7 separate regions of the Mus musculus genome follow, and regions 1, 3, 4, 5, 6 and 7 are each reported to be linked to region 2. The links are microRNA targets in miRTarBase. Many come from high-throughput screens and were not tested one by one. Region 2 holds a microRNA gene; each other region holds the end of a gene's coding sequence.
The links. Region 2 holds the annotated microRNA mmu-miR-211-5p (UUCCCUUUGUCAUCCUUUGCCU, at 1,771-1,792, shown strand). A microRNA usually pairs through its seed, bases 2 to 8, with sites in the 3' UTR of a target mRNA and lowers its output. Matches are read on the target gene's strand: a 7mer-m8 pairs with bases 2 to 8, a 7mer-A1 pairs with bases 2 to 7 and ends in A, and an 8mer does both.

Region 1: miRTarBase lists Comt as a target of mmu-miR-211-5p. Seed matches in the 3' UTR shown: 7mer-m8 at 1,259-1,265.
Region 3: the mRNA of Bco1 is a reported target of mmu-miR-211-5p. Seed matches in the 3' UTR shown: 7mer-A1 at 896-902.
Region 4: miRTarBase lists Samd7 as a target of mmu-miR-211-5p. Seed matches in the 3' UTR shown: 8mer at 587-594 and 7mer-m8 at 867-873.
Region 5: the mRNA of Jarid2 is a reported target of mmu-miR-211-5p. Seed matches in the 3' UTR shown: 7mer-m8 at 2,193-2,199 and 8mer at 1,313-1,320.
Region 6: the mRNA of Fgl2 is a reported target of mmu-miR-211-5p. Seed matches in the 3' UTR shown: 7mer-A1 at 2,228-2,234.
Region 7: the mRNA of Tcf4 is a reported target of mmu-miR-211-5p. The part of its 3' UTR that is shown has no 7-base or 8-base seed match.

What each region holds. Positions count from the first base shown.
Region 1 is chr16:18,404,682-18,408,813 of GRCm38, reverse strand. It overlaps Comt (catechol-O-methyltransferase), which reads left to right. Exons shown (of 6, transcript NM_001111062.1): 6 at 774-1,932. The coding sequence ends at 977. Arvcf (armadillo repeat gene deleted in velocardiofacial syndrome) reads right to left here. Exons shown (of 18, transcript NM_001272029.1): 17 at 3,593-3,712; 18 at 1,738-3,207. The coding sequence ends at 3,605. Among named protein-coding and RNA genes, the nearest start is that of Gm15764, 6.8 kb to the left of the region's middle.
Region 2 is chr7:64,204,061-64,208,192 of GRCm38, forward strand. It overlaps Mir211 (microRNA 211), which reads left to right and starts at 1,746; the gene lies at 1,746-1,851. It overlaps Trpm1 (transient receptor potential cation channel, subfamily M, member 1), which reads left to right. Exons shown (of 27, transcript NM_001039104.2): 6 at 362-533.
Region 3 is chr8:117,132,520-117,136,651 of GRCm38, forward strand. It overlaps Bco1 (beta-carotene oxygenase 1), which reads left to right. Exons shown (of 11, transcript NM_021486.3): 11 at 455-1,201. The coding sequence ends at 741. Among named protein-coding and RNA genes, the nearest start is that of Gan, 23 kb to the right of the region's middle.
Region 4 is chr3:30,765,134-30,769,109 of GRCm38, forward strand. Samd7 (sterile alpha motif domain containing 7) reads left to right here. Exons shown (of 8, transcript NM_029489.3): 8 at 114-2,041. The coding sequence ends at 308. Among named protein-coding and RNA genes, the nearest start is that of Gm33590, 10 kb to the left of the region's middle.
Region 5 is chr13:44,918,625-44,922,567 of GRCm38, reverse strand. Jarid2 (jumonji, AT rich interactive domain 2) reads right to left here. Exons shown (of 18, transcript NM_001205043.1): 18 at 925-2,768. The coding sequence ends at 2,616. Dtnbp1 (dystrobrevin binding protein 1) reads left to right here. Exons shown (of 10, transcript NM_025772.4): 10 at 114-489. The coding sequence ends at 361. Among named protein-coding and RNA genes, the nearest start is that of Dtnbp1, 82 kb to the left of the region's middle.
Region 6 is chr5:21,374,494-21,378,559 of GRCm38, forward strand. Fgl2 (fibrinogen-like protein 2) reads left to right here. Exons shown (of 2, transcript NM_008013.4): 2 at 761-3,893. The coding sequence ends at 1,467. The region is part of intron 2 of Ccdc146 (coiled-coil domain containing 146); the gene reads right to left. Among named protein-coding and RNA genes, the nearest start is that of Fgl2, 3.9 kb to the left of the region's middle.
Region 7 is chr18:69,682,665-69,686,661 of GRCm38, forward strand. Tcf4 (transcription factor 4) reads left to right here. Exons shown (of 20, transcript NM_013685.2): 19 at 19-159; 20 at 413-3,997. The coding sequence ends at 155. Among named protein-coding and RNA genes, the nearest start is that of Gm31439, 30 kb to the left of the region's middle.

The DNA of each region.
Region 1 (4,132 bases), not on the chromosome of region 2:
ATGATGGGATGTTTTTATTTGTGTGTGTGCCTGCTAGCAGTGCTCTTCCCACTGAGACACACTTCAGCCAAGGGCTACTTACTGGATTTTACTTTCCATTTTGGGTTGCTTCCAGTATGTTTGAAGACAAGTGCCTTACATGTCTTACATAGTCCGGGTAGCCTGGAACCAATGAATCTGCCTCAGCCTCCCGACCGCTGAGATTACAGACGTGACCCCATCAGACAGAACTGCTGTTATTATCTTTTGTTTCATGATTATGTTAAAAACAACCCCCTAAGCCTCCTGGGCAAACAGATATTCAAGTGTCCTGTTTCCTGGCTCTCCCTACCCCTGCCCCCTCCCACCCCTTTCTTGGCAGGTACTTCAGTTATTTGTATGCTATCAGCTGATATACTTCCCAGAGAGGATAGACAAGCATCCTACATGGGATTCTCACAATCACAAGTTCTAGACCCACTGCTCCAAGGGCCCAGGAACGACTCCCTCCTGCTCAGAGCCTAGCACCTAGTGTCTTCCCTGGCCCAAAAAAAGTCCAGAGCAGATCCTCAAGGGCAGGGTTGTTGGTGAGGATGCCATATTCTTGGCATAGAGTGTTGGAGGGAAACTGGCGAACCTCCAAACCTTCACTGTGTGGCCTACATGCTCCTCTAGGGCTGGGGATGGATTCGAGGAAGAATAGGAGTTGGAAGTGGTTCCATGGGAGAGCAGCTGCCCATGGATTGCACTGTGCTTGCCAAGCATTCCTGACCCTCCCTGTCTGTCCCCTGCAGGAATGTGGCCTGCTGCGCAAGGGGACGGTGCTCCTAGCTGACAATGTCATTGTCCCGGGAACCCCTGACTTCCTGGCGTATGTGAGGGGGAGCAGCAGCTTCGAGTGCACACACTACAGCTCATACCTGGAGTACATGAAAGTGGTGGACGGCTTGGAGAAGGCAGTCTACCAGGGTCCAGGCAGCAGCCCCGTGAAGTCCTGACCACTCAGCCTGATGAGCTTCCGTCCCAGCTCCCTTCTGCACGATGACACACACTCACTCTGACCCCCTCTATGCTTCTGGGGCCTTTCCTCAGGGCCTGTGGCTCCAGATTGTCATACACTGGCACATTAAAGGTAGTGAGCTCACCATGCAAACCACTACAATACCCCTGGAAAACACCTGTGCATCAAAGGCTGCATTGAGGCCAGAGATGCAGTAGATCACAGTGCGTGCCTGGCACGCAAAACCCCTCACGGTGAATCCTCTGCACCCAAGAACAAAAAGGGAGATTTAAAAAAAAAAAAAAAGGGGGACTGGTGAGATGGCTCAGTGGGTAAGAGCACCCGACTGCTCTTCTGAAGGTCCAGAGTTCAAATCCCAGCAACCACATGGTGGCTCACAACCATCCGTAACAAGATCTGATGCCCTCTTCTGGTGTGTCTGAAGACAGCTACAGTGTATTTACATATAATAAATAAATAAATCTTTTAAAAAAAAAAAAAAAAAAAAAAAAAAAAAAAAAAAAAAAAAAAAAAAAAAAATCAAAGCAGGTGTCATCCTGATGGCCTCACTAACTGGAAGAGGAGATTTTTTACAAAGTTTCAGTGTGGGATCCCTAGGCACTGCCATCACTCAGCAAGAAGTCAGGAAACTGAACATATCCAGATACCATTCGGCTGTCACCAATGGCAGCAACGACTCAGACGGTACTGTCACCAGCAACTCATACCACATTTCATCTTAAGAATGAGTCACAAACTTTTCAGGTATGATGGCGCATGCCTTTAATCCCAGAATCCAGGAGGCAGAGGCAGATGGATCTGAGTTCTGTGCCAGCCTGGTCTACACAGTGAGTTCCAGGACAGCCAGGGCTACATAGAAATACTTTGAAAAAAAAAGTCATAATCTCTTTTATATTATAAAAGAAATTAAAGATCTAAATATTTGGATATAAGAAATTCACTGAGTTATTCTTTTCAGCTACCACACTGCTCTTACTTGGCGCAGAACAGCCTTTGTACTCATCTCTGACTAAACAGGCATGGGGCCACGCTGTCCCCGATGTCTCTGGGATAAACAGTCTCTCCAGTTCACACCATTGAGGCATGTCTGCCAGGCACCCAGATTCTGAGGAAGTGCCAACCCAAGCTTAAGAGTCACCCTAGCCCCCATCTCTTTCAAGAGGCTCCTCAAGGCCTCAGTAGGGGCCCATTTCCTAGACTAGAAACAAAGGTCAGCTCCATCTTGTCTGCTCCCACATATGCCCATATTGGTCAGCCGGCACACAGGAGCCAGGAGTGACAGCAGTGGGACGTGCCTGAGGCCAGGGGCAGAGCACAACCCCCATACCCCTTCCACCCCCTCCCTGCAATGGGACTTGAGGGAACTGTATCTTCACCAGGGGGCAGTGGTGGCTCAGCTAGCACAGGACTGTGCCCTCTCCTGGTGAGCCAAGGCAGAAGACAGGCAGTTCTTTGCTGCTTTTTTAATCTTTAAATTTTCTTACAAAAATTTCAATTTTTGTTGATAGTCTTATTTTGGTTTCATTTTTAATGCATTTTGTCAGTTTTCTTCATTTTAAAGTCACAAACAGCAGGCACTGAACAGCAGTTCCCCCCACTGCTGCCGGCAGTCAGGCCCCGAGGTTACTTGAGGTTCTAGGCAGATGCAACAGCCAGGGTGGCCCCAGCCACAGGCAGCTTAGGAGGAGTATGCTGCAGAGGGAAGGTGTTCCAGGAATCCAAGGATGGGGGTGCTGGTGACAAGCACAGCTTGCCACTACCCCCAATCTGGCTGCCTCCTAAACTTCCCTGTCTGGACTCTTTTAGAGCAGCCCTCCCTGTGGTCAGCCTACATGCAGTGTAGTACTCCAGCCACCCTTGGGAGCCCAAGTTCTTTTCCAAGGCCCCCTACTTGTCCCATTGCCTGCTCCAGGACCTCCAATCCAGGCTTGTATTTGCTCCTCTGTGGCTGTGCATGGGGACCTCCCCCCAGCCTCCTCTCCTACCACACAGCACCATGTCAGTAAACAGCTAACTCAGACCTGGAGAGTTAGAGCAGAAGAGTAGAGAAGAGGGTAGGGTAAGGTAGGACAAGAGGCTTGGCCACCCTGCCACAGCAGGGTGGGGCTCCTGGCTCCAAGACTGGTTCTGCTCAAGATGGCGGGCCCTCTGGCCCTCTTCCAGCTACCTCGATGCGATCCCTAAGAACAAACAGCTGGGCCAGGGCCCTGCAAAGGAAGGCAAAGACAGATGTTTAGTCGGGAGCCCAGATAGATAAGAGGCAGCAAAGTGTAGCAAGGTGACTTGGGACCTCCATACAGGGAGCTGCCTTGATAGGCCATACAGAAGCAGTAGCTGTGGAGTGAGGGATGGGCCATACCAAGACCCTTGACACCAGAACCAGTCCTGTCTTGCGGGTCCTCACAGGGCCCTGTGCTGGGGGTATTTGAGGAAATAGGGGGCCTGTTTCCCCAGGACCCTGATCTCCAGAGACCGGAACAGGGCTGTTGTCAAGTCCTGCCAGAGATCACATAGGGAGCTCAGTCATGCAGCAAGCAGAGATGAACACGGAGCCCTAGTCCAAGGATGGGCAAACCAGAGGAAGGAACGTACCAGGCATGCAAGCTAGACCCAGGAGTCAACAGGCTGAGGCTTAGTGTCCCCCACGGCGTCCACCAGCCTGACCGAGGGCCTGCTGGGCCCAGGCGGAGGGGCCTTCCTGCCAGGATCGGGCTGCAGTGCATGGTGGGTGGGCAGACAGGAGTTAGAAGCAGAAAATAAAAGCAGGTTAACTGCAACTAAGGGTAGGCTAGACTGGTTCAGGCTGATTGATGTATATAAGGAAGGGGTGGCATGGAGGGCCTGCCAAGGCAGTACAAGGAAGCCAAGCTCTGGGGTTGGTTATGGCTCACACATGAATGTACCCAGAGGCTGGTACGTGAAGCCAGGATACTGGCACACAGGTGGTAGATGCTGCCTTTTCCAGGGGACCACAGTAGACACCTTGCCCATACACATGTAAGAGAAAGGTACAAATCCGTTTGCTCGGACTCTCTGGACCTACGCAGCCTGTGGCCAGGCAGAGCTGCCCCTGTCTGCTTCTTTGCGGCAGGTGCGTGCACCAGACCCCCTCAGTGCTGAAGTCTGATTGAT
Region 2 (4,132 bases):
ACACTTAAGTTTACATGTGGTAGCTGAGCAGTGGTGGCACACACCTTTAGTTCCAACATTCATGACAGGCAGAGGCAGAGGCAGAGGCAGAGGCAGAGGCAGAGGCAGAGGCAGAGGCAGAGGCAGAGGCAGAGGCAGAGGCAGAGGCAGAGGCAGAGAGGCAGAGGCAGAGGCAAGCAGATCTTTGTGAGTTTGAAGCTAGCCTGGTCCCACAGTCTATACAGAGGCCTACGCAGAGAAACCCTGTATCAAAAAACAAAACCAAGTTTATATGTTGTGTGTTTACACTCATTTCTTGTGTCTCCTATGACACTTAATATCTAAATTCTGCAGCTTTGATTCACATCATGCTTTCTGTCAGGTAACAAGAGTCTATCAGACCATGTCCAACCCTCTGAGCAAGCTCTCTGTGCTCAACAATTCCCACACTCACTTCATCTTGGCTGACAACGGCACCCTGGGCAAGTATGGTGCTGAGGTGAAGCTTCGAAGACAGCTGGAAAAACACATCTCCCTGCAGAAGATCAACACAAGTAAGTCCTGGGAGGCCATGGGCACCAGCTCGGGACTGACTCTACCAGGGTGGAAACCAGCTGAGAAGGAAATTACCAGAGGGTGCTGATTCTTGCTAGGTCCATGGACTATGCTCAAACTCTTTGCCCTAGCCACCTACCAAATCACCCTCCCAGAGCAGTCATGGGATGTTTTGCCCAGGTTCACAATTTGGTCTGAGACTTACCCTTGCACTATTTGTCATGGTTGTCATGGTGATGGCACTGCCCACCATGTTGCCCTCGGTCTTGTTCAGTGTACTTACTGCTATTATTTTCCTTCATGTTTTATCAGGAAAAAAAAACCTAAAAACTTGTTCCCAAAGATTTGGTATAATTCAGATTGTGACCCAATGAGTGTTGTAGGATCATTACATATCTCTATAGCTCTCAGTCTCCCACATGGACTAAGATGGTGAGATAAGGAAATCCTTGGACTTGGCTACAGGGACATCTGTTCCTGATGGTCACCATACTTGGTGGTCCAGATGGCACAGCTCACTGCTGGGGGGAAATGTGAGGATAAATTAGAGAGAAAGGACTGGCTCCCAACCAGATGAGAGGACCCATAACCTTCTGGGAAATGCCCACATGCAAAACTTCTGCCAGACAATTATGAAATGATCTCACAGAATATTTCATTCTTATCATCACCAGGAATATCTTTGTGCACCACAATCTAGAACTAGGAAAATGTCAGAATGTAAGGAAGTGTGGTATCACTCAAGTGGTTAGAACTGGGGTGCCTACTCCTAAAGGCTATAGATTTCCAAGAATCAGCTTAAACTATTTCTATTAATTCTCTGAGAGTTTTATACAATTTAGTTTTATACAATTATTCTATTCCTCCCCTACTTGTGCCAGATCTACCCCCACCTCCCAAACAGCCCCTGAATTCATGTCCTCTTTTAAAGAAATGACTACTTGACTCCTACTGTTCTGACCATGCAATCACAGGTGTGGGGGCATCCACTAGAGTGTGGTCAACCTATCAGGGCCGCACACTTAAAAAAAAAAACTGACTCCCTTCCCACAGAAGGGAATTTGTCAACTCCTCCCCACCCTCATGCTGGAATACTGACCGGCTTGATCCTGTGCAGCCAGCCACACTGTGAGTTCATGAGTGCGGAGGTCCTAAGAATCAGATCTTGGTGGATAAATCAGTTTGATTTAGTGTTTTTGGACTTGTAAATTCTGCTTGGACCTGTGACCTGTGGGCTTCCCTTTGTCATCCTTTGCCTAGGCCTCTGAGTGAGGCAAGGACAGCAAAGGGGGGCTCAGTGGTCACCTCTACTGCAGAGAGTTCAGAAGCCTAGCCTGAGCCAAGAGCAAGTTCTTCTCTGCTTCTGGAAATGAAGTCGCCATGATCCTGACGATGTAAAAATCCCAAGCACGCTTGGATGGAAATCTCAGAGACAGACGATGCCACCCTGATCCATTTTCCACTATTTCTTTTCTCTCTCTCTCTCTCTCTCTCTCTCTCTCTCTCTCTCTCTCCCTCCCTCCCTCCCTCCCTCCCTCCCTCCCTCCCTCCCTCCCTCCCTCCCTCTCTCTCTCTCTCTCTCTCTCTCTCTCTCTCTCTTTCTTTCTTTCTTTCTTTCTTTCTTTCTTTCTTTTTTGAGACAGGGTTTCTTTGTATAGCCCTGTTTGTCTTGGAACTCACTCCGTAGACCAGGCTGGCCTCGAATTCAGAAATCTGCCTGACTCTACCTTCTAAGTGCTAGGATTAAGGGTGTGCGCCACCACCGCCCGGCTTCATTTTCCACTATTTCTTATTCATGGCTTAGCCCAGTGGGTCCCACCCTTCCTAATACTCTGACCCTTTAATACAGTCACTTGTGTTGTGGTGACCCCTCAAACCATAAAATTATTTTTGTTGCTACTTCATTACTGCAACATTGTTACTCTTATGAATCATAATGTAAATATCTGATATGCAGGATATTTGATACGTGACTCCCCTAAGGGGTAGAGACCCACAGGTTGAGAACTGCTGGCTTAGCCTATGCCATATCTTCACCATTTGCTGGCTGGAATAAACTCAACTGTAATTCTTCTAACAGGAGACAACAAAGTTATCCTGAATCCTTAAGTATCCACTGGGGAAAACAAAGTAGAAAAAGAGAGACTCTGAATTCACTCATTGATAGTCTCAAGGCTTCTTATAGCCCGTGCTGGCAGATTTTATCGGAAGCTCTTGAGAACCATAACATCAAGGACATTTCCTTCCTCTTGTCTCTTGTAATGTTGCTCACAACTACAGAAACCAAGCAAAACCTGATCAGCAGTCAGTGAGCCTGGGTGTTGCCAAGGTCCAAAGCCCAAAACTTCACTGGTCACAGACAGAAAAACATTCAGGAGAGAAATTCTGTCTTTAATTAATGTGTATGGAGTTTTTTCCCAGTTGCTATCCCTCAGAAACACAATATAATAACTACTTTCATGTCATTGCATCATGCCAGGCGTTATGAGTCCCCTGGAGATGGCTTGAGGCACACAGGAGAAGATACATGCAGCTGCTACATCATTTTATATAAGAGTCCTGAGCATCTTGAATTTGGTGTCCAGGGGGATGTTATAAGGTTCTGGAGCCAATCCCTAGTAGATGCCTAGGAACAACTCTATAATATGTTCTGGCCAGGCAGAGATGACATTTTGAAGTAGGCAAGTTTGTCACGAAGCCTCCTCTCCAGCACTTTCCCCCCAGTATTATCTCAGCTTCCAGAATTCTCCCATCACTTCCTGCTGGATCTATCACCAAAAATTTGTCTATTCCTACTGTGCCCTTGAAGAATTATATTATTTATTTATTTTAAATCAGAGTAGACTCTGGAAATAAGCCATTGGCAATGGGCTAATAGTACTCCACGCTTTTACCCCTAAGGTAATATCCTGGGGCCAGAAGTGTTTTAGTCTTGGATTTATAAATTTTGGACATATTTGCATACCCTTTACCAATGATCATCTCCAATCCAAATATTTGGTCTTGGAAGATGTCTTGGGGACGGGTGATGCTCAACCTTTTCTCCCGTATTCGAGGCTCTGGAGGCAGCAACAAGAGCAGACTACCACACGAGTGCCTCTTTGACTTCCCAAACACTACGTAAAAGCCAAATCTATTCTTATATTTCAGGTCTGTTGCTCTTCTTGAGATAAGTGAGGTCCTGATCCTTTTACAACTGGTCACCTGAGAGATGGCGCTTTAATGAATGGTCCAGCAGTGCTTTACTGATAGAGGAGAGGCCCTAGATTGGGCTGAATTCCCCTCTGGCTCAGTCCAGCCCTCCTTATACTGGATCATTGTTGGAAGACAGCCCCTAGCATTTCACACCTAGGCAGGCAGAAAAGGAGCCTTCATAGCAATGCTTTTAAAACTGGCCGGGTGTCCCTGTGTTGGATTCTTTACCAGAGTTGGGTCACATGGGCGTGTCAGGGAGTTTAAGAGTTCTGAAATTTGGAGTTTACAGTGGGGGGCCATGATATGAAGTTCGAATGCAAGAATGAAGACAGTCACCCTTCGCTTGACTTAGTCGAAGCATTGGTCAACATTAGCACTACAAGGAAAGCCCTGTGGCAGGAAG
Region 3 (4,132 bases), not on the chromosome of region 2:
AGCCATTCCTCAAAACACATGAAAACGAACCAAGTGCTCCCATAATCCACCCTGCAGATCATCCCAGCACCCATGAGGTCAGGGGTTGGTGGGAATTAGCTTCACTGCAAAGATGAAGAGACAAAGGTTCATTGAGGCAAAGCGGCGCTCCCGGAAGTAGGTCTGCTGATTGCAGTTCTGGTTTCTCTTCTGCCAACACAGAATGGCATATATCCTCTTTCCTCCTGTTTAGATCAAGGATGAGTTAAAAGACCACAGGGAGACACCTCTGAGAAATGTTCTTTCCAGGTACACAAGGCTATGCATTGAACACTGTTAGATATCTCTTAGGACCAGGGATGGAGCCTATGGGGAAAGCAGCTGTCTAGTCTGCATGAAGGCCTGAGACTACACTCTCAGCATTACAAATGGAAATAAACTGGTTTTGGGGGTTTTGTTTTTTCTTTTCTTATAGGAGTCATTTTATCAGCCATCGTCTCTACGGATCCCCAAAAGCTGCCTTTTTTACTCATTCTGGATGCCAAAAGTTTTACGGAACTGGCTCGCGCCTCTGTTGATGCGGACATGCACCTGGACCTTCATGGTTTATTTATCCCAGATGCAGACTGGAATGCAGTGAAGCAGACTCCAGCTGAAACGCAAGAGGTTGAAAACTCAGATCATCCCACAGATCCGACAGCACCAGAACTGAGCCACAGTGAAAATGACTTCACAGCGGGTCATGGTGGCTCAAGTCTTTAATCCTAACACTCAAGGCAGAGGCAAGCAGATCTCTGAGTTCACAACGGACAGCCTGGGACAGCCGGGGCTACACAGAGAAATCCTATCTTGAAAATGAAAGGAAGAAAGGAAGAGAGAGAGAGAGAGAGAGAGAGAGGGAGAGAGAGAGAGAGAGAAGGGAAGGAAGGAAGGAAGGAAGGAAGGAAGAAAGAAAGAAAGAAAGAAAGAAAGAAAGAAAGAAAGAAAGAAAGAAAGCAAGCAAGCAAGCTAGCTAGCTTCATTGGTAGAACTTAGTTGTTGACACTGTCAACGTGGACAGCATTTAGGATCTCTTAAGAAACAAACTTCTGAGCCTGTCTGTGAGAAAGTTTCTTTATTGTGTTAACTGGACAAGGAAGATCCAACCAGAACATGGGCAGCACCATCTCATCCTTTGAACATCCTTTATTTCCTGAATAAAAAGGAAAGAACCTGTCGCTGGACTTTTGCTACTTTGTGGGTTCGTTTTCTTCTACCCTTCTCCATTCCTCTTCATCTACTTATCAACCCCCTTAACACTAGGGAGAAGAGAAAAAGGATAGAGAGGAGAGGGGGCGATGATATCTTTAGACTACTTCCTGCTGGCTAGAGGTACTGATTAGAGGCATTGAGTTCCTTGGGACAAGTTTGATCTTTGCCTTCAGGATATCTAACTTCCTCTTTTCATTTCTTCTCACATGACTACATGACAAACAGCAACCAACAGCAGTTAACAACCAACCAAAAACACTACCAAACAACCACAAACAACAAACAATAGCCACCAACAACCACCACAACCAACAGCCACTACAACCAACAACCAACAGCAACCAACAACAGTAAACAACACCAACAAACAACAACTCACCTCTGGGGCCCTACATCCTCTGAAAAGTCCCCAGAATTCCAAAGGTCACACACTTGCAGAAATGATCTGCAGCTGGCAAAACCACGCCCCTGCTAGAGCACGAGGCAAATCATAGTCACCTGCTTTAAGGGAGCCCCATAGCTCCATGCCTTGGATTAGAAATAAAACATATTCCCATAATATTTATGTGTTCTTTTAGAGAAACTAAAATTCTCACTGCAGAAGCCACTTGAGCACCAGCATTCACCCCTCTCAGCTTTCTGACTGTGGATGTAACCGGCTGCCTCATGCTCCTGACATCATGCCTTCCCACCATGATAGACTGTACCCTGGTCAAAATAAACCACCACCATCCCCCCTTAAGTAGCTTTTGTTAGTTACCGTCTCCCAGCAACGGGAAAAGTAAGTAAGCTTGCGCCTTTCTGTTGTTGGAGATGGTCATCCTGCTGTTATTCTTTGTTCAAATACCACAATAAACCACAGAGACAGCTCGAGTTCCATTTTATTGGAATCCTTGTTGAAAAGGCAAGTTTTTACCAGCCAATTCTAGTATATTTAAGGCAGCCCTTTCTTTTCTTAGAAAGACCTTGAGGAACGAGAAAAATACATCGGTTGGTGAGATAACCTGAGTTCAGACACTTGCCCCCCCCCCATAGCTATCCACATAAAAACTGGACATGGCCTTATGTGTCTAGATCCCAGGCTCTCAGGAGGCAGAGGTAGGAGGGTCCCTGGGGCTTGATGGCCAGAGAGCCTACTCAGCAAACAGTGAGGGACCCTGTCTTGGAAAATAAGGTGGAGCATGATGAAGGGAAAGACCCAATGTCCACTTCCAGTCTAACACATATATGCACATGTCCTCAAGTGCACACACGTATAGGCAAATGCACTTTAAAAAGACCTTGAATGTGAATCAAGAATTGTATTAACCATGTTATTGTTCTTGGAATAAGCACCTATGAACATGAAAAAAAGGTGGGAGATCATCCCAGCTCCTTCCTCCATCCACTCCATCCTTTCTAATGGACCAAATTGTGGATGTGGCCTTTTGGCTTTCCCAGGTATGCTCTGTTTGTAAGTCATGTGGCCAGAAGGGCATGGTGCCCTGTGGTCATTCCATGCAACGGGTAGCAAAATATAAAAGAAAAAAAAAAAACACCTTGAAAGCCTGTTGAGAGCTTGTTTGATTTTCTTTCTTTCCTTTCTTCCTTTCTTTCTTTTCCTTCGAGGCAGGGTTTCTCTGTGTAGCCCTGGCTGTCTTGGAACTCACTTTATAGACCAGGCTGGCCTTGAACTCAGAAATCCACCTGCCTCTGCCTCCCAAGTGTTGGGATTAAAGGCGTGCGCCACCACCGCCCAGCTGCTTGTTTGATTTTTATGTGGCTGCGTCTTCCAGTTCTTCGGAGCCTATAAAGTGGGGCTGCAGAACTTCACCCTTCCTGGCCTGTAAGAAGTCCTATTGTATGATCAGTGATTGCAGGTTCCTTCTCTGCAGGAGGGGGGGGTCACTGAACTGGCACTGACCGGATGAGCCATGGCAAAAGGGCCACAGTTCAGGGTGGAAAACCAAAGCCAGGCTGGTCTGAAAAACCAGCAAGAGCCACATCAGCCCCCAGAAGGGAAAGGGGGTGTCCTGAGCTATTTGCACTTCAAGGTGGACTGGTATGTGGAGCAGAGCAGAAGGAAAGCCCCAAGCAAGACAATGGCTGGGATGGAGGAGCTCAGAAACCAGCCAAGTGGCTTCCCACTTGATTGCTGGGAGCCCCATGGTCATTGGCGCTTCACTGTTCGAGTCTAGTGGGTACCCAAAGCACAGGTTAAATTTATACATGCATATGTGTGTGCATGAGTGTGTCAGTAGTTCTGGTGTTACCGCTCATATAAAACTGGTACCATCCTTTGTTCACCGCCATATACTTCGTGGTCCATCAGCACAAGGATCCTCACGAGACTGCCCCTCCAACCTCTGGTCCCTACACCCTGGCAACCACCACCCATAGAATTTTGTCATCTCAGAAATTTCATCTAAAAACTGGTATCATGGCTCACACCTGTAATCCTAGTATTTGGGAAGCTGAGGCAGGAGAATTGCCATGAGTTTGAGGCCATCCTAGGCTAAAGAGTAAGACCTTATTTGAGAGAGTGACAGGTGGAAGAAGAGGAAGAGAAGGAGGACAAGAAAAAGGAGGAGGAGGAGGAAAAGGAGGAGAAGGAAGAGGGGAGGAGGAGGAGGAGGGGGAGGAGGAGGAGGAGGAGGAAGAAAGGTCCTGTAAGTGAATCATGCTGTGTTAAATCTTTTGAAGTTGGCCCTGTGCAGACCCCTCAGGCTGCTAAGTACTGCTAAATTCACTGCTCTGTTCCTAACACCTTAATACCACCTGGTGCGATGCAGATACTCAGTATTTGTTAATGAATGGATGAGTAGCTGAGTTAGTAGTTCCCCTAGCAAACATTTAACTCCACCCCAAGAGACAGACATTTCCCTAAAGAGCGGCTGCGAGCTGGGGAAGATAGACCACACAC
Region 4 (3,976 bases), not on the chromosome of region 2:
ACATCCGTGTCTGAAATTACCTCAGCCTCCTGGCTTCCCCCACCCCCGTGGTTAATGCAGGGTTATCAAAAGAATTCAAAGACTTAATCACTATAATTATTTTGTCTTCAAAGGTATCTCAGCATGTGGGAAATATGTTCTGTAAAAAACTTCCTTCACTTCCCACCCATGCAAGGCAAGCATTTGATCAGCCAGCAGACACATCCCCTCTTTTGGACATGAGTTCCTGGAGTGATGGTTTGAGCATTCCTGGTCCCCAGGATCTACTGAGTCCTAAAAGAACTGAGCAAGACGTTATGAGAAATTAAAAACACCCAAAGACACAGATGTTCCAGATGTCACCAGCAGGGTGTGAGACCTTCAACTGGTGGACAAAAAGAGCGAGACCATGCTCACAGAATGTCTTGGAAGAAGGATCTCACCCAACAGGCTTCCTGGTAAGCCGAAGCAAACCAAGCACCAAGGTTCTGAAGAACTGCCCCGAGGAGAAAATGCGAATGGGGAGGGGAATTTACAGACTACGTTTACAAGCTACAATCCGATGATTCTGTGAAGAAAATTCTGAAGAAGTGGAGAGCAGAAACTGAAAGGGAACCTCCTTCTACTCACTCCTTCCATCGCCCAACCCTGATGGAGCAGCAGGTGCTGATGGGAGGAGGCAGGGCAAAGCTGATGAGAGACAGCACCTTATCTCCTAGCCACAGCAGCGTCTAGCCTGCAGTGGGGCCTACAAGGGGGAAGTTAGGATTTACCGGAGGGGAGGGGGAAAGTTATCTGTGTGTAACAAGTTGGAACTAGTGAGAGAGAGGTGATGATAAAGGTGGCTGTGTCCAGGCTTCCAACTTAACATTTGACAGAATGACTCCAAAGGGACACACACACACACACACACACACACACACACACACACACACACTGGCAACAGTATGATCAGAGAGGGGACTGGCTGGCAAGCATAGGAGGTCTTATTTTGAATGGTCTGAATTGTAAACCTTGAGAATGTGTCTCACGTGACACTCTCAGTTCAAGTAAATAAACCCTAGCAGAAAGCCTTTAAGATAGCCCACCCATTGTCGAGGGTGCTTGCCTTTGTATACCCCTCCCCTACAGTGTGCTGAACCAAAGAAACACACCTTCCTAAGCACACCCATAAGGCCCGGCAGGGATCCCTGCTGTGGCTTCTGTCCCATTTCTACGTCAGTTTCCCTCTCCAAGAGGCCCTGGGTGACACCACGTGACTAACCTTGACAGTGGACACCGCAGAGCTTGCCTGCCTTTCAGGTATGTGAAAGTCTTGGTCCACAGCCTAATGCCAACTCACAAGACCTTAGTCCAGGCTCTCTGCCAAGCCTCCGTTCAGTCCCTGACCACAGAACTGTTGTCGCAAACTTGCTGTTTCCAGTCACTGCTTTTTGGGGTCCTTTCACAGACATGGAGAATTGAAACACATAGATTTAACTTACTGACACAGAGAGCACAGTACTGACTCCCCGTTTGGTCTGGAAGGTGGGCATCCAAGCCCTTCCTCTAGAGTTCTCATTTAGTTTTGTTTTGGTAATTTTTGGTTTTTCTTTCTTCCATGACAAGGGTTTGGTCTCATATAAAACTTATCTATGTCATTTATGTGTTCATGCAGGTATTAGTGTGGGTTTAGACTTTGAAACTGGAAAGAGCAAACAGAGATTTGGATGAATTCAGTTGTGGACTGTGGCCATGTGTGGTGGGAGTGGAAACGAGGGGTCCCGGGAGTGGGAGGGCAAAGCGGTGGGGGAGAATCAACAAAAGAGTCTCTGCTTGAAAATCTCATCATTAAACCTAATACTTAGTATGTTAACTTTTAAAATTAATTGTTCAAAAGCCTGTCAGACCATCAAATATACTTGCAAAATTTTAGCTTAAGCTCTTTATCGTTTTGTTGAGAGACAGTCAAAAAGCAGAAAATCTCCACAACTTTCAAATTTTTATTAATTTTTCTTAAGATGGGCATTATGCTGGTAGATAACATGTGTCAAGGTTTCAATTAAAAGTAACTCGAAAAATACCTCAGGCTCTTCTCTCTTTTCTACTCGTCTAATCTTCAGTGTATAGAGCTGTCTAGACAGACGACCTACTGCGCCCAGGTTTCAGAAGGTCTATGAAAAGCCCACAGTGGGTTAGGAGATGTTGTGGTGAGAGACGAAACCTGCTGTTTACCTGGTATTCTCCGGTGGTTAAGGGATCACCTCCTACAACCCACATTATAATCTCTTGCTCCTGCTAAGGAGTCTGCTGAGCTAGCAAGCAACGGACTGATTTGAGCAGATGTGTGTCGTGCTGTTGAGAGGGAGACGCTTTGGTGTGCCAGCCATAGACTATCACCACAGAGAGCACTGTGCTTCATTTTAGAACAGACATTTAAAAAAGGAATCAGGAGATGGTAACGGAAGTCCTCCTGGCTGAGGACTCTCTCCCAAAAGAAGAGCTTGAAATAATTTGCCCACAAAACCCTCTGCTCTCCAGTTAGAGACTATTTGGGTACTTTATAATTTTTGTAAGAATAGATTCATATATTTTTATTGTACGTATCTGAGTGTCTGGTCTGGATACACATATGTGCATTGCCTGGTGCCCACAGAGGTCAGAAGAGGGCATCAGGTCCCCTGGAACTGGAGTTATGGATGGTTGTCAGCTGCCATTCTAGCAAGCGATTTTCTGCCCTCTACAAAAGCACCTGTGCCGCCCCTGCTGGGACGGAGTTAACAAAAGGGGCTACTTTGGTGAATGGGATGATTTTGAAGGGTGATTTCGCTTACATGACTGTCTTGATTGCTGGTCTGTTGCTGCAAAGAGGCAACATGACCAAGGCAACTCTTACAAAAGAAAGCATTTGATTGGGGGCTGGCTTACAATTTCAGAAGTTTAGTGTCTTATCATCATAGCATGGAGCATGGCAGCAGGCATAGCAGGATGGTGCTAGAGAAGCGGTTGAGAGTTCTACGACTGGATTCACAGGCAGCAGGAAAAGAGACCGGAGGCCTTGGCTTAAGCTTTTGAAACCCACCCCTAGTGACACACTTTCTCTGACAAGGCCTCACCTCCTAATCCTCTTTTAAAAGTGTCACTCCCTGGTGACTAAGCAATCAAGTACATGAGCCTCCAGGGCCACTCTTATTTAAACCACCACAGTTATCGCTCAGATTTTTAAATTTTCAATATTGTATGACATTTCTGTCTGTCTGTTTCTTCATCGAGGTGTGTAAGTGAAGGTCAGAGGGCAACTTGCAAGAATCAATTGTCTTCCTTTAGCCATGTGATCTTGGAGATCACACTCAGTCAGTCAGTCAGGTGGCCAGTGTCTGTACCTGCTGAGCCATCATCTCCTGGGGAAAAGTTTTAACTCCTTAACTGCTCCATTAGCCTTGATCAAACTTTACTCTGTATAAGCAAATAATCAAAGATAAATCACAACTATAGAAAACCTCCTTTGTTTGAAAACCAACCACTAAAAGAATTATCTGATAAACAGGATGTTATTACTTATGAAATATTTTTGCTCAGAGGAGTCAAGTAAATCCTTCTAAAAGCATGAGAGCTAAATAAGATCTGGTCTTCCCATGTAGGCCAGGCTGGTTCCAACCTTGCATCTCCATCTGGTAAGGCGTTCTCTCAAGTTCTGGGATTACAGGTTCGTGCAATCACTCCCAGATCTTTCTCAATTGCTGTTTCATCACAGAATGTGAGAAAGTTTTGTTTAAAGAGAGTTGTAGTCATTCACTGTACTTGTCCAGCCTCCTCTCTGGAAGATGGATCCCTCTTTACACACGTAAAAGGCCTTGATGGATGTGTCTGCTGATACCCAGGAGATGTCATTGTGTGGCTGTGAGAAGCTAATCACACGAGTAAAGGAGGTGATTCGTGTGAACTCCACTGGGTCTCAGTTTTTAATGTGCTTATAGATTGTGTGTACAGTTCCAAGAAATTATTTTTTAGTACATTT
Region 5 (3,943 bases), not on the chromosome of region 2:
TGGTCAGGTAACTTGTGGACCCTACAACTAGGCTGAGGGACAGGATCTCGGGCAGTTGTCCTCAATGGCAGTTCCCAAATGCAATCAGAGGCTTTTTCTACTTTCTTCAACAGAGATGGAATCCAACCCCAATCAGAATGAAATGAGTCTTCAGATTCCAAGTCCCTCAGAATCAGCATCCCAGCCACCTGCCTCACCCTCTGCCTGCACTGACCTGGACACTGCTGATGCCCCCCTCATCCAGTCTGATGAGGAGGAGGTACAGGTGGACACGGCCTTGGTCACATTACACACTGACAGAAAGTCCACCCCAGGTGTCAGTGATGACAGTGACCAGTGTGACTCAACTCAGGACATTTAAGTGACTTGTCAGCTGTGCGCAGAATCCTCCTGCAAAGCCAGGTGCTTAGAGGTTTTCAATTTTACACACTTGCTAATGGGATGTAAGAACCATTAGAGAAGCGCTCACAATAAAGCTTATGGAATAAACACTGTGCAGCTGGTGAGTATATGGGTCGTATAGAGGCCCCTGCCTTGACAGGTGCTTAGAGCTGATTGACCAAGAGTTCCTAAAGAAACACAGGTGTGGAGGTCTGCTGGAGAGGGCCTTGAAGGAAATAGGACCTAGGCCAGGCTATGTGGGCACCGTGCCCTACCATACTGGGAGGCAGAGTCTGTTAGCATAACCAATAGTGGTCAAATTGGGATCTGAAGAACTTAATTTTACCTAGCATCAGGTGACAACCTGGGAAAGAAACTTGCTTCCCCAAGGTCCCCAGGGCATGAGCTAGCCTAGTTGCAGCCCAGAGTGGTGAGCAGTGCCACGGACATGCCTCTGTAGCTCCGCTCCCTGGCCTAAGAGAGGATGTGTAGCCCCTGCCCCACTGACCAAAGAAAGCCCAATCCCTTCCCACAAGACAGACAAAATGTCCAAAAAACTTTTTATTATTAAACCTTGTAGTACAAACCTGAAAAGTAAACAAAGAACTGGCAATAACCACACAGAGCCTCCCGGCAGGAGGGGTGCAGAGCAGCGCTAATAAATTAAATGTCGAACTGTAAGCCATAGGCGAAAGGTTACCGACAAAGAGGGGAAAGTCCACAGCAAGGCCATAGAAACTGGACGACCACATTGGAAACACTCGACTGTCAGGCAATCGTTAAATAGTCCAAAGCAGTTTAGTCTTCTGCAACAACAGCCACCAAAGTGGATCCTAGGCGTTCCTGGCAGTCACCACTGGCAAGCTCAGTGCAATGTGGGTAGCTATGGACTGATCCAATTATGAAACAAACAACAGCTTGTGAAAACAGTTTCCCTTTTTTATTCCACACATACTGTACACACAGCCGGAGAAGGGCAACAGCTACTCCACTACCACGTTCTGTTGCTGTTGAGTGATGTAAGCAGCACTTATACATGTCACAAGAGAACCCTGTAAGCATCCAATCAGCCGATGAAGAAACGGAAACGTAAGGCTTTTCTCCATCTTCTCACCCCTTCCCTCCCCCTCCAAGAAAAGGCTCAAGTATTTAAAACAATTTACAGGAGTATGTACAAAAGGGATGGGATTTTTTTTCTTTTTTTCTTTTTTGTTAAAACATGAAGAGAAAAAATAGACAAGAGGAGCACAGATGTGTTTCACATTCAAAAAGAACTGCAGACTTAGTGGCTCTAAGTGTGAGGGAAACAAAGATTAATGCTGATGTGAGGGACACAAGCAGAGATGGAGGTGGAATGTCGGGAAATTGCACATGGATGACAGGGAAGCACTTACAGTCAACTGCTGTTCCTTTTCCTCAAGGATGCTATTGAAGGGTTTTTTGTTTTTTTGTTTTTTGTTTTTTTGATAAAGTAGCCAACAGCACCAAAAAAAAATAACAGAATGGATTTCCTAATGAAATCAGGCACAGGTCTCCCTCAGTGACCCTCCAAGGCAGGCAGTCTTTGTCTTTGTCTCTCTCTCCCTCGAACGGATGCATAGTGATGTGCTGGTATGAGAACCTCGTCACTCAAACCTCACAGTTTGCCTTCAGCTGCCATAACCGCCCAGCCAAAGAAACAGGGCTCTCCGGTTCCAAAAGTTACAAACTCCCTTCGCACATGACAGAAGAAAAGACAGCCAAAGTAAAGCCATTTCAAGTTTTCTTTTTTCTGTGTGTGTGTGTGTGTGTGTGTGTGTGTGTATCTTCTATCCCTTTTCCAATCTAGAAAAATCTCATCTGACTGATGGTTTTAAAATTTGTTCTCCAAACTTCACCATCTTCAAAAATGGGTTAAAAAGCCTTTATTCCTCAACAGTTACCAAACAAAACAGAACAAAAACAAACAAACAAAAAAAAAGGCATTTCACAGCCATGGGGCGATACAAATTAATACAGCCCCTCAAGGGTTTTAGACAGTGAGTGTACGGCAGCTTCCAAACCTGACTGCAGTATCTAGATATCTACGTACAAAAACTTGAACAGTTTAATGCTAAAACAAAATCAGTTCTCTAAAACCAGAAGAAATTCTTCTTTAGAGCTAGTGCAAAGACAGCTTGTATCCTACAGCAAGTACTCCAAACTAGAATATAGTAATTACAAAAAATATATAAGTGACCATGGGTTCGGCATCTTCATGAGGATGGGAGCCGAGATGGCGGCACATCCACGGTCGCTCTCTTGCGGGGACCTCTTTTTGGTGTGGGTTTGTTGAGACAGTTCTCGATGCCACCGTGTTTGCCAGACACTTTGCCACATATCTGGTTGACCAAACTGATGATCTGCTCCTGCCAGGACAGACAGACAACATTAAGTTAGTGCAGCAGAGGCACCAAATCCTATGACTTATCAGTGTGTGTCACTGGACATTAGCAGGCTTTCTAAATAGCTTTAGGATTCAGAGATGCAGAGGACTTGTGAACAGGACAGGGAGATACCTAAGGAAAGTCCTGTGGCTGCCGAGACTGCTGAGCACCGTGCATACCTCTCTGCCTTGTGGGCTCCCAGCAGCCACTAAAACTAACACCACCGCTGGGGGATCTGACACTTTTGGCCCCTAGTATGCTTGCATTCACATGTATATAACTCTCCATAAAGAACTCAAATGCCTGTCCTGCAAAAGAGAAACAGATGCCTCCACACTCGGAGGAAGACTGTCTCCTGAAACTGCTTCAGATAGTTGGAGGTAGGGTAGAAGCTGAGGCAGCAGGCCCTCTTTGAGAGCCAACATGACAAGAAAAATCCAGAAATTTAACAACAGCATCCAAATATGAGACATTACAGATTGAAGCTATGCTAAAGTTCTCCAGCATGTGACATCAGCAGCTCACATGACTCATTGTGTGTGACCTCTGCATTAGAGGGGGAAATGGGTCAGCTATATCCCTTTATTTCACCCAAGAGGACCGTGCAACTCTCTACTAAAAGGTATCCATAGCTGGGTGTGGTGGCACACACGTAGAATCACAGTTCTGCAGAGGTTCTAGCAGAACATATTTGGGAGCAGCCAGGGACACAAAGGAAGGATGTCTCAAAAACAAGAGAGCATAGGCAAGAACACCAGCAGTGAGGAATGGAGGCAGCCTGGACACAAGACTCCAGGTTCACACAGTCAAGTTCTGCCTCTAAAAAGCCTACAAACAGCTGAAGGATGTGACATAGTCCCCTGCCTCCTTAAAACAAGCTCCTTTGTGAAAGCCTTGCCTGTCTATCTTCAGGTCTGGGAGCCCTGCTCTTCCTGGGAGCTTCACAGTGCATAGGGGTGTGGGAGGAACAGGCCTGGAACCCCTTGTGTGTCTGTCATTGGGCTGCACAAGGAATGAAAAGGACTGAACTAAGAGCTTGTGTCTATCCTACCTTTCTCAGTCCACCCAGCTGAACACAATTGAGGGCTAGTGCTGACCCTTTACAACAGCAAGCCTCTGGCAGAGGGAGAGGCTGCTTCCAGATGTGCTCCTGTTCT
Region 6 (4,066 bases), not on the chromosome of region 2:
GACTGTATACCTTCCTAAATAATAAATTCAGGATAACATTGCCATATTATTGGAGAACCCCCCCCTCCCTTTTAAAACTGGAATCATTTTATGTCAATCTCAGGTGAAATACGAATGGGTTTCAGAACAGTGCTGTGCACTGAAGGCTGACATTTAGAACATATATAACGATTTCTGTAAAGTCTGCTGTAACAATTGCTGATTGTATCCTAGGAGACTTGGACTCCTCTCAACGTTAAGGCAGAGGAATATAATGGTTATGAGAGTAAAACTCTCTGTCAGGTACATCTGGCTTTCTGTCCCAGCTCTGTCACTTAACACTTAGTTGCGGTGGGAAAACTCCCTGATCTTCCGGGAGACTAAGTAACTGTATAAGCAAGCTGGCCGTGATATCCACGTCGTAAGGCTGCTGTGTGGGTTCAGTGAAAACTGTTACAGTGATTGGCAGAGTTTCTGGAGGTCATTGACCCTCATTAAACCTTGCATACACTTATTCTTACTACTCTTTGCTGTTAGTGTTGCCACCAGGATTGCCATTCAAGGCAGTCCTGTATACTTGATAACACCAGTTGGTTCTGAGGCCTTAGTTAGCATCTGTTAGCCTGGTTCAGGAGAGTGTATCAGAGCCAGGTTCCTCTATCACATAAACTGTAACGCAAGTGAATTGTCCAATTGCTGTTGAGTCTGAGAGTCCTTGAGGTGCATAGCTTTGACTAATAAATCCCCATGCTTTTATGCTTTTCCTTCCTCCCTCTTCCAGTTCAACATCTAATATACAAAGATTGTTCCGACCACTACGTGCTAGGAAGGAGAAGCAGTGGGGCCTACAGAGTTACCCCTGATCACAGAAACAGCAGCTTTGAGGTCTACTGTGACATGGAGACCATGGGTGGAGGCTGGACGGTGCTGCAGGCTCGCCTTGATGGCAGCACCAACTTCACCAGAGAGTGGAAAGACTACAAAGCCGGCTTTGGAAACCTTGAACGAGAATTTTGGTTGGGCAACGATAAAATTCATCTTCTGACCAAGAGTAAGGAAATGATTTTGAGAATAGATCTTGAAGACTTTAATGGTCTCACACTTTATGCCTTGTATGATCAGTTTTATGTGGCTAATGAATTTCTCAAATACCGATTACACATCGGTAACTACAATGGCACGGCAGGGGATGCCTTGCGTTTCAGTCGACACTACAACCATGACCTGAGGTTTTTCACAACCCCAGACAGAGACAACGATCGGTACCCCTCTGGGAACTGTGGGCTCTATTACAGCTCAGGCTGGTGGTTTGATTCATGTCTCTCTGCCAACTTAAATGGCAAATATTACCACCAGAAATACAAAGGTGTCCGTAATGGGATTTTCTGGGGCACCTGGCCTGGTATAAACCAGGCACAGCCAGGTGGCTACAAGTCCTCCTTCAAACAGGCCAAGATGATGATTAGGCCCAAGAATTTCAAGCCATAAATTGCTAGTGTTCATCTCTCTGGGCACTCACTATCTAAGAGGACGATGAATTCCTTCAGCCCTTTACCATATGTCTCAGTTTATATTCCTTTCCTATGGCTAAACATTTCCTTTAAAGCTTTACAGCTTTTAGAATAAAGCTGAAAAGATCTAAAAAGACTCCTATGTTGCTGTTATATGAGGAATGCTTGAAAGCACTGGAAATATTGACAATTATACATTATAATTGCAAAACCTTTCATTTTTATTAGTTGAAAAGTTTCCTAATATTTTTATTATTTTTATAATAAAAACTAAATTATTCAGCAAGCTAGATTCTATATACGCAAGTTTTATTTTCACTAGGGCTAAATATACACATTTGAGAATATACCAGTCCTTCCAGGTACAACTGAAAGCCAAGAACTGTAGTATTATCTTTCGTCTAAGAAGAACTTAAAGCATTTTAGTTCTCAAGAAGAAGGGCAGGGATGGGATTGGGGGCCAGGGACAATATGTATAGCTAAATGTATTCATCTAATGCAAAATATGGCATTAAAATACCTAAAAATGTGGTAGCATAATATATGTCTCTTCCCTCTCCAATTGAAAAATAATGTTACCCTGTAGACTTTGGTTTAGTGGTAATTCACTTACTGTTTATAGCCTGTTAGACCGCGATACAAAAGCTGCTTTATCCTCTCCCTCTGCTCTCTGTGCACAATGGTTTGTGATGTAAGGTGCTAGACTACTGTAAGGTTTCCTTGGGGAAAGGCATGGTAAGGGAAAACACACTGGTTTATATTTTGAAAGCCAATCCTAATCCCAAAGCAATACTGTTGTCGAGGAGTCAACGTTCTAGGAAGCTGACTTTTCTAGAACAAATGTATTTATTAGGATGAATTTTGGAATTTTAGTTTAAATATTATACATTTTAATCCTAAGCAGTCAATTGCTTATTTCATTCTTAGAAATTCAAAGAATATATACAATTTTAGCCAAATGTGAGTCCCTGGAATTCCTTACTTGTGGATGTCAAGGGTCACATTAAAAGGCTCTGGGGGCAGTTTCACTCACTTTATTCTTGTGAAAAGGGGTCACTCAGAGAGAAACAACCCAGCCGCACACTTAAACGTGCTCTTGGGTGGAATCTGAAGTGCCGCATGCAGTCAGTCACGTGGAGTAACTGACTGTACAACATGCACTGTCTAAGCAATAACTTTGATCTTTAAGTTTTGGTGTAGCTTCTAATATACTAACCAAGCTTTTGAAATATATGCACAAAGATTCCACCTTAGTTATTTTTAAAACATAACTAGGGAGGATATTTATTGTCTTGACTACTTAAACTTTCAAACATGTAGCCACTGTAAAAAAAAAAAAACTTTACAAAGAGCAAGATACTATTTTTGAAACATGCAACATGAAGTTTTCAGGTGAATACAGTGACAACTAAGCTATTAATAATATAATTAAATTGCCAGCGTAAGCTAAATGCATGCTGAATTAAATGACCAAAATATAACGTAGATTTTAAAGCCTTTACCTACTTGGTAAAACAGTGAATGTAAGTGGCAGTAACCAATCTTATTTCTTTTTGCTTTTTAAAAAAGACTAAGAAGATTTTGATATTATACAATTCATGTGTTTCAAATCCTGTTTATTATATGTAGCCATATAAGTCTAATGACATTTCCATAATGAAAATTGATTTACCATAGCAAAAATACTATGTGTTCATCCTGAGTGTGTCTTTCTCAGGGTAACAATGAATCCATGTAAATACTTTATCTTTGCACTTCCAATGGATCCAAATGTTGTTTTCTATTATAGTCTATGATATTCTTCTAATAATTCTTTAACACAGAAATTTATTTTTGAATCATTTTCTGTCACTCATTTAAAAATATATTGTAGACTTTGATAATCTCTAATCTGTTTATTGAAATAGTCCTTAGCCTTAACAATTCACTGATATATGCTGATGTTCATTAATGTACACTATTTGCCAATATGTATTTTTAGAGTCTTGGCTTCATTTGGGTGGCTAGCACTGATCTTAATGATCACTTTATTGCTGAACATCATTATTCTTTAAAAATGCCAAGTGGAACTAATTTCTTAGGAATCCAGTTGATTTGCCTGTCACGAAACGAGAAAGCCATCTCTCTGAAAAGTAGTAACGCAGCAAATGTCCTCAGTTCTCTGGTGGACAGAGCTCGTGTGCGAGGCTCAAGGAGCATTAGAATCCCAGGATGGGCTGGACCTGGATTTTTCAGTAGCTGCCCCTCACTCTTCGATAAGTTTTCAAGATAGGTGGATATATGCAATTTCCATGAACTCTTGTTTAAGATTTATTTTCATTGATGTATAATTAAGGTTATGTTTAATGTTTCTTTAAAGCCTTGTAAAATAAAAGTTAATCTTTATATCTATCCTTCGATGTGGAAACAGCATGTGTAAAATGATATTTATATATCTGTTACTGTCTAAAAGGTTGGGTTGTGTTTACCTAATCTAGATAACATCCCCGAGTCCTTAAAAACACTGAGTATTATTTCTTTATATAATAATAAGCAAGGCAAATAGAGGACACCATCATCTATTTCCTTTAGACTGC
Region 7 (3,997 bases), not on the chromosome of region 2:
TGCTTTCATGTTCCACAGAAAGGAATCTGAACCCGAAAGCTGCCTGTCTGAAAAGAAGGGAGGAAGAGAAGGTGTCCTCAGAGCCTCCCCCACTCTCCTTGGCTGGCCCACACCCTGGGATGGGAGACGCAGCGAATCACATGGGACAGATGTGAAAAGGTACGCTGGGTGAGCTTTCCGCCATTGCTGCTACCCCACAGTTCCGCTGCTACCCCACAGTTCCGCTGCTACCCCACAGTTCCGCTGCTACCCCATAGTTCCCTGTGGCACATGAGCCACAAACAACAGGTTTTCCCCAGATTAACCAATTATTTTTAGTTCTTAAAAGGGGGGGGGGGACACTTTAAAAAATCATAATAAAAAAATTTTCTATCACTATATTAATTGTTTTTTTCTCCTTTTCTTTTTTCAGGTCCAAGTTGCTACCTTGCTTCATTAAACAAGAGACCACTTCCTTAACAGCTGTATTACCCTAAACCCACATAAACACTGCTCCTTAACCCCGTTTTTTTTTGTAATATAAGACAAGTCTGAGTAGTTATGAATCGCAGACGCAAGAGGTTTCAGCATTCCCAATTATCAAAAAACAGAAAAACAAACAAAAAAATGAATGAAAGAAAGAAAGAAAGAAAAAAATGCAACTTGAGGGACGACTTCTTTAACATATCACTCTGAATGTGCGAAGCGGTATGTACAGGCTGAGACACAGCCCAGAGACTGAATGGCAATCCTCCCACACTGTGGAGCAATGCATTTGTGCCTAAACTTCTTTTGGAAAAAAAAAATATAATTAATTTGTAAGTCTGAAAAAAATATTTAATTTAAAAAAAAATTGTAAACTTGCAATAATGAAAAAGTGTACTTCTGAAGAAAACGACATGAACGTTTTTGTTGGTATTCACGTCAGCTAGTGTTTCTAATTACCGGATATTGAATAGGGGAAGCCCGGCTGCCCTCGTAACAAAACCAGCAAACGTCCTGATGGCAACGAAGTGATGACATTAGCCATTCCTTAGGGTAGGAGGGACAGATGGATGTTATAGACCTATGACAAATATATATATAAATATATATATAAATATATATTAAAAATTTAGTGACTATGGTAAGCTTTTGTTGATTTGTTTCAGACTTTTTTCTCCTGTAAAAAAATAGTACTGATTAACTTTTTTAAAAGAAAGATTTTACTGTAAATATGGATTTTTTTTTTTGTCTGATTTTTGTCCCTTCCCCCGGTTTGTTATCGTAACCTGTAGTGCCAACTCTGCTTCCGGAGGGGCAGTGCAGGACGAAATGCTGACCCTGAAGTTGCTTCTCATTCACAAATAGTAAAAAGTTGTTTCTCCAGTCTTTTGGGAACACAGGACTTAAAAGTCACATCATGTGTAGGAATTACATGCAGCATTGCCCGGGCGAGGCAAAAAGCGTTTGTCTGGCTTGTGGCGCTGCCCTTGTTACCCTCCCCTGGGATTTTCAGAGGTACACGGTTAGAATGCTACAATGTTACCACTGTGCCTTCCAATGTTTATATCATCGGAAACATAACATAATCAAAGTGGCTGTGATTTAACAAAAAAAACGATTCAAGTGTTACCTACCTGTGTAGCCGAAGTAGTGTGCAGTGACCGAGACGTTTCTGAATACATGGTCAGATTTTTTTTGGAAAAAATACAAAAATTAAAAAAAAAAAAAAAAAAGAAAAAAAGAAAAAAAAACTAAAAAAGAAAGTCAAGTTCAAAAACCGTCAAATGAGAAAATTGCAAGGAGTGTGACAGAGCTGATTGATTTTTGTTGCTTTCTTGATTTTTTTTTCAAAATGGGTTTACTAAAAAGTAGATGACTTACCTGCCTCCTCCTTCGTCTGAAAAAAAAAAAAAATGCCAACCAATCATGCAGCATTATAACAAGCCTTATAAGCCCTAAAGCATTAAGTTGCACTTTTGTGAGGAGGGGTAACGCAGTATTCTCTCTGGCCAGTATGAGTGAAGTTTATACTTAACATTTGATAGAAACATAGATCAAACTACGGCACAGCAACTCATCAGATAGCTAGCGTTGACTCTGGGCACAATTGAACCAATTCCCATCGTAAGTCTTTCCAACAATGGACTTTGGTGTGTAGTGCAGTGAACACATAGGACTCCTACGTAAGCATTTGTCAGCATCCTTTTGTCTCTAACTCGGTTCTGTTTTGACAGCCACACAATCTTGGCATGTATTAAGGAAAAAAAAAATCCCTGTTGAAGTAGTTTTTCCACCTATCAGCACTGAGTAAATGCCATAACTCCGCGGAAATGGTCTAAATACCCCATTTGTTGTCCTGAACTACCAGTTACATAGTGACGAAACACATCTGTAAATTTTATGCAACCAATGGCAAACCTATCATTATTTTGAAACTGTGTATGTAAAAGTTATATTTTTACATGTAGACTCTTGTTATTATGTGTTTTAATACATTGTATCAGTTTTTTGTTTTTTTTTAAACTGTGTGGTTTTAAAAAGTCATTTAAATGAAATAGTGAGCTACAAGAATCTGAAATTTATGTTCATTTCTGAAAATGTAAGAACAAATAAGATAGTTACCACGTGGTCACCTTTTACAAACCCATGAACATTTTGATTAGCTGTGTGCATGTGTGTGCGTGTGTGCTCTTGCGCGTGTGTGTGTGTGTGTGTGTGTGTGTATGTGTGTGTGTTGAAAATTGTAAATATGTTCAGTAGCGATAAAACTAAAATGCTTTGATTTGTTGAGAAGTTCCTAAAATGTGGAGGTGGATTGAAAATGTAGGGGAATAGCAGGAATCAAATCTCATAAAAAGTTCTTCGGGGACTTTGCTGTGATGCGGTGGCACAAAGGTGCTCCAAGAAGGGCAAAGAAGAAAGACAGTAACTTCCCCTCCTCCCTGAACGATGGAAAACATGTGTACGTGGTCTCTCACCATGTTAAAGATTTTCTTTCCGTGATACATTCTGCACTCATTTTGTATAGTCTGCCAAGGCGGGTATCCCTAGGAACAATATTATTATATAGGAAACAGGTATCGTCCGATCACATTCAGGAGAAGCGTATAGAAAAGAATATGGTGTTTACTCTTTAGGGAACTGGAAATCCTCCCCGCATTGATGGATATCTTCAGAGTGGCACTTTTGATACATGTTATCATAAAGGTGCTTACTAAAGCAGAATCAAAGTTTTTCAACTCTGTAAACAAAGCAAAAAATTAAATTTTTAAATTAAATCATTTGAGATTTTTTTTTTCAATTGGTGCTTTTATATTTTGTTCTCACTCGGACAGAGAAAAAGCTGCAATTTCATGTTCTCACCAGCTTTGATGTATTCATTACTTGGTAATGTAATATGGCTATTGTCAAATTCCTTTTGGAAATAAGCAAAAGACTCCCCAAAGGCCAGCAGCAGCTGCTGGCTACTTTCTGCTTGGTGCGGAAACCTGATCTGACCCTCTTTGTAGTAATCAGGTGTATCTCCAGTTTTAAAAAGAAGGAGAAAGGAAATGTGGCCGTTTTAACGTGTTGGTTTTGTTTTGTTTTGTTTTGTTTTGTTTTCCTTGTTGTTATTTTGTAATTATCAAACCCAGGTAAGATATTGGTATTCCTGCACTGGATTTTTGAAAGAAACTTAGCAGAAGTCAGGATTAAAATACTACACAAACATTTCATAAGTGTTCATCCTATACTAGACATACACGAAGGCGGTGAGGCTTAGGTGCAGGATCGGTTTAAGAGACTTTGAAAGCAACTTGGAACAGTTGATCCACCTCCACATTAAAGTAAATTATGAATATGCAGAATTAGGGATCTGTCCATCTTGGAGTTGTTACTCTTTTTGTCTTCTGTATGGCAGTGATGAACACTAATGCTTTGACAGCTTTCAGCCCACCCAGTGGTCCAACTGATTCCAATTCAGTCTTCCGATTCCTGGTTTTGTTTTGTCTTTCCACTTTTTTTTTCCTATCTTGATTTTATTGTTATTGTT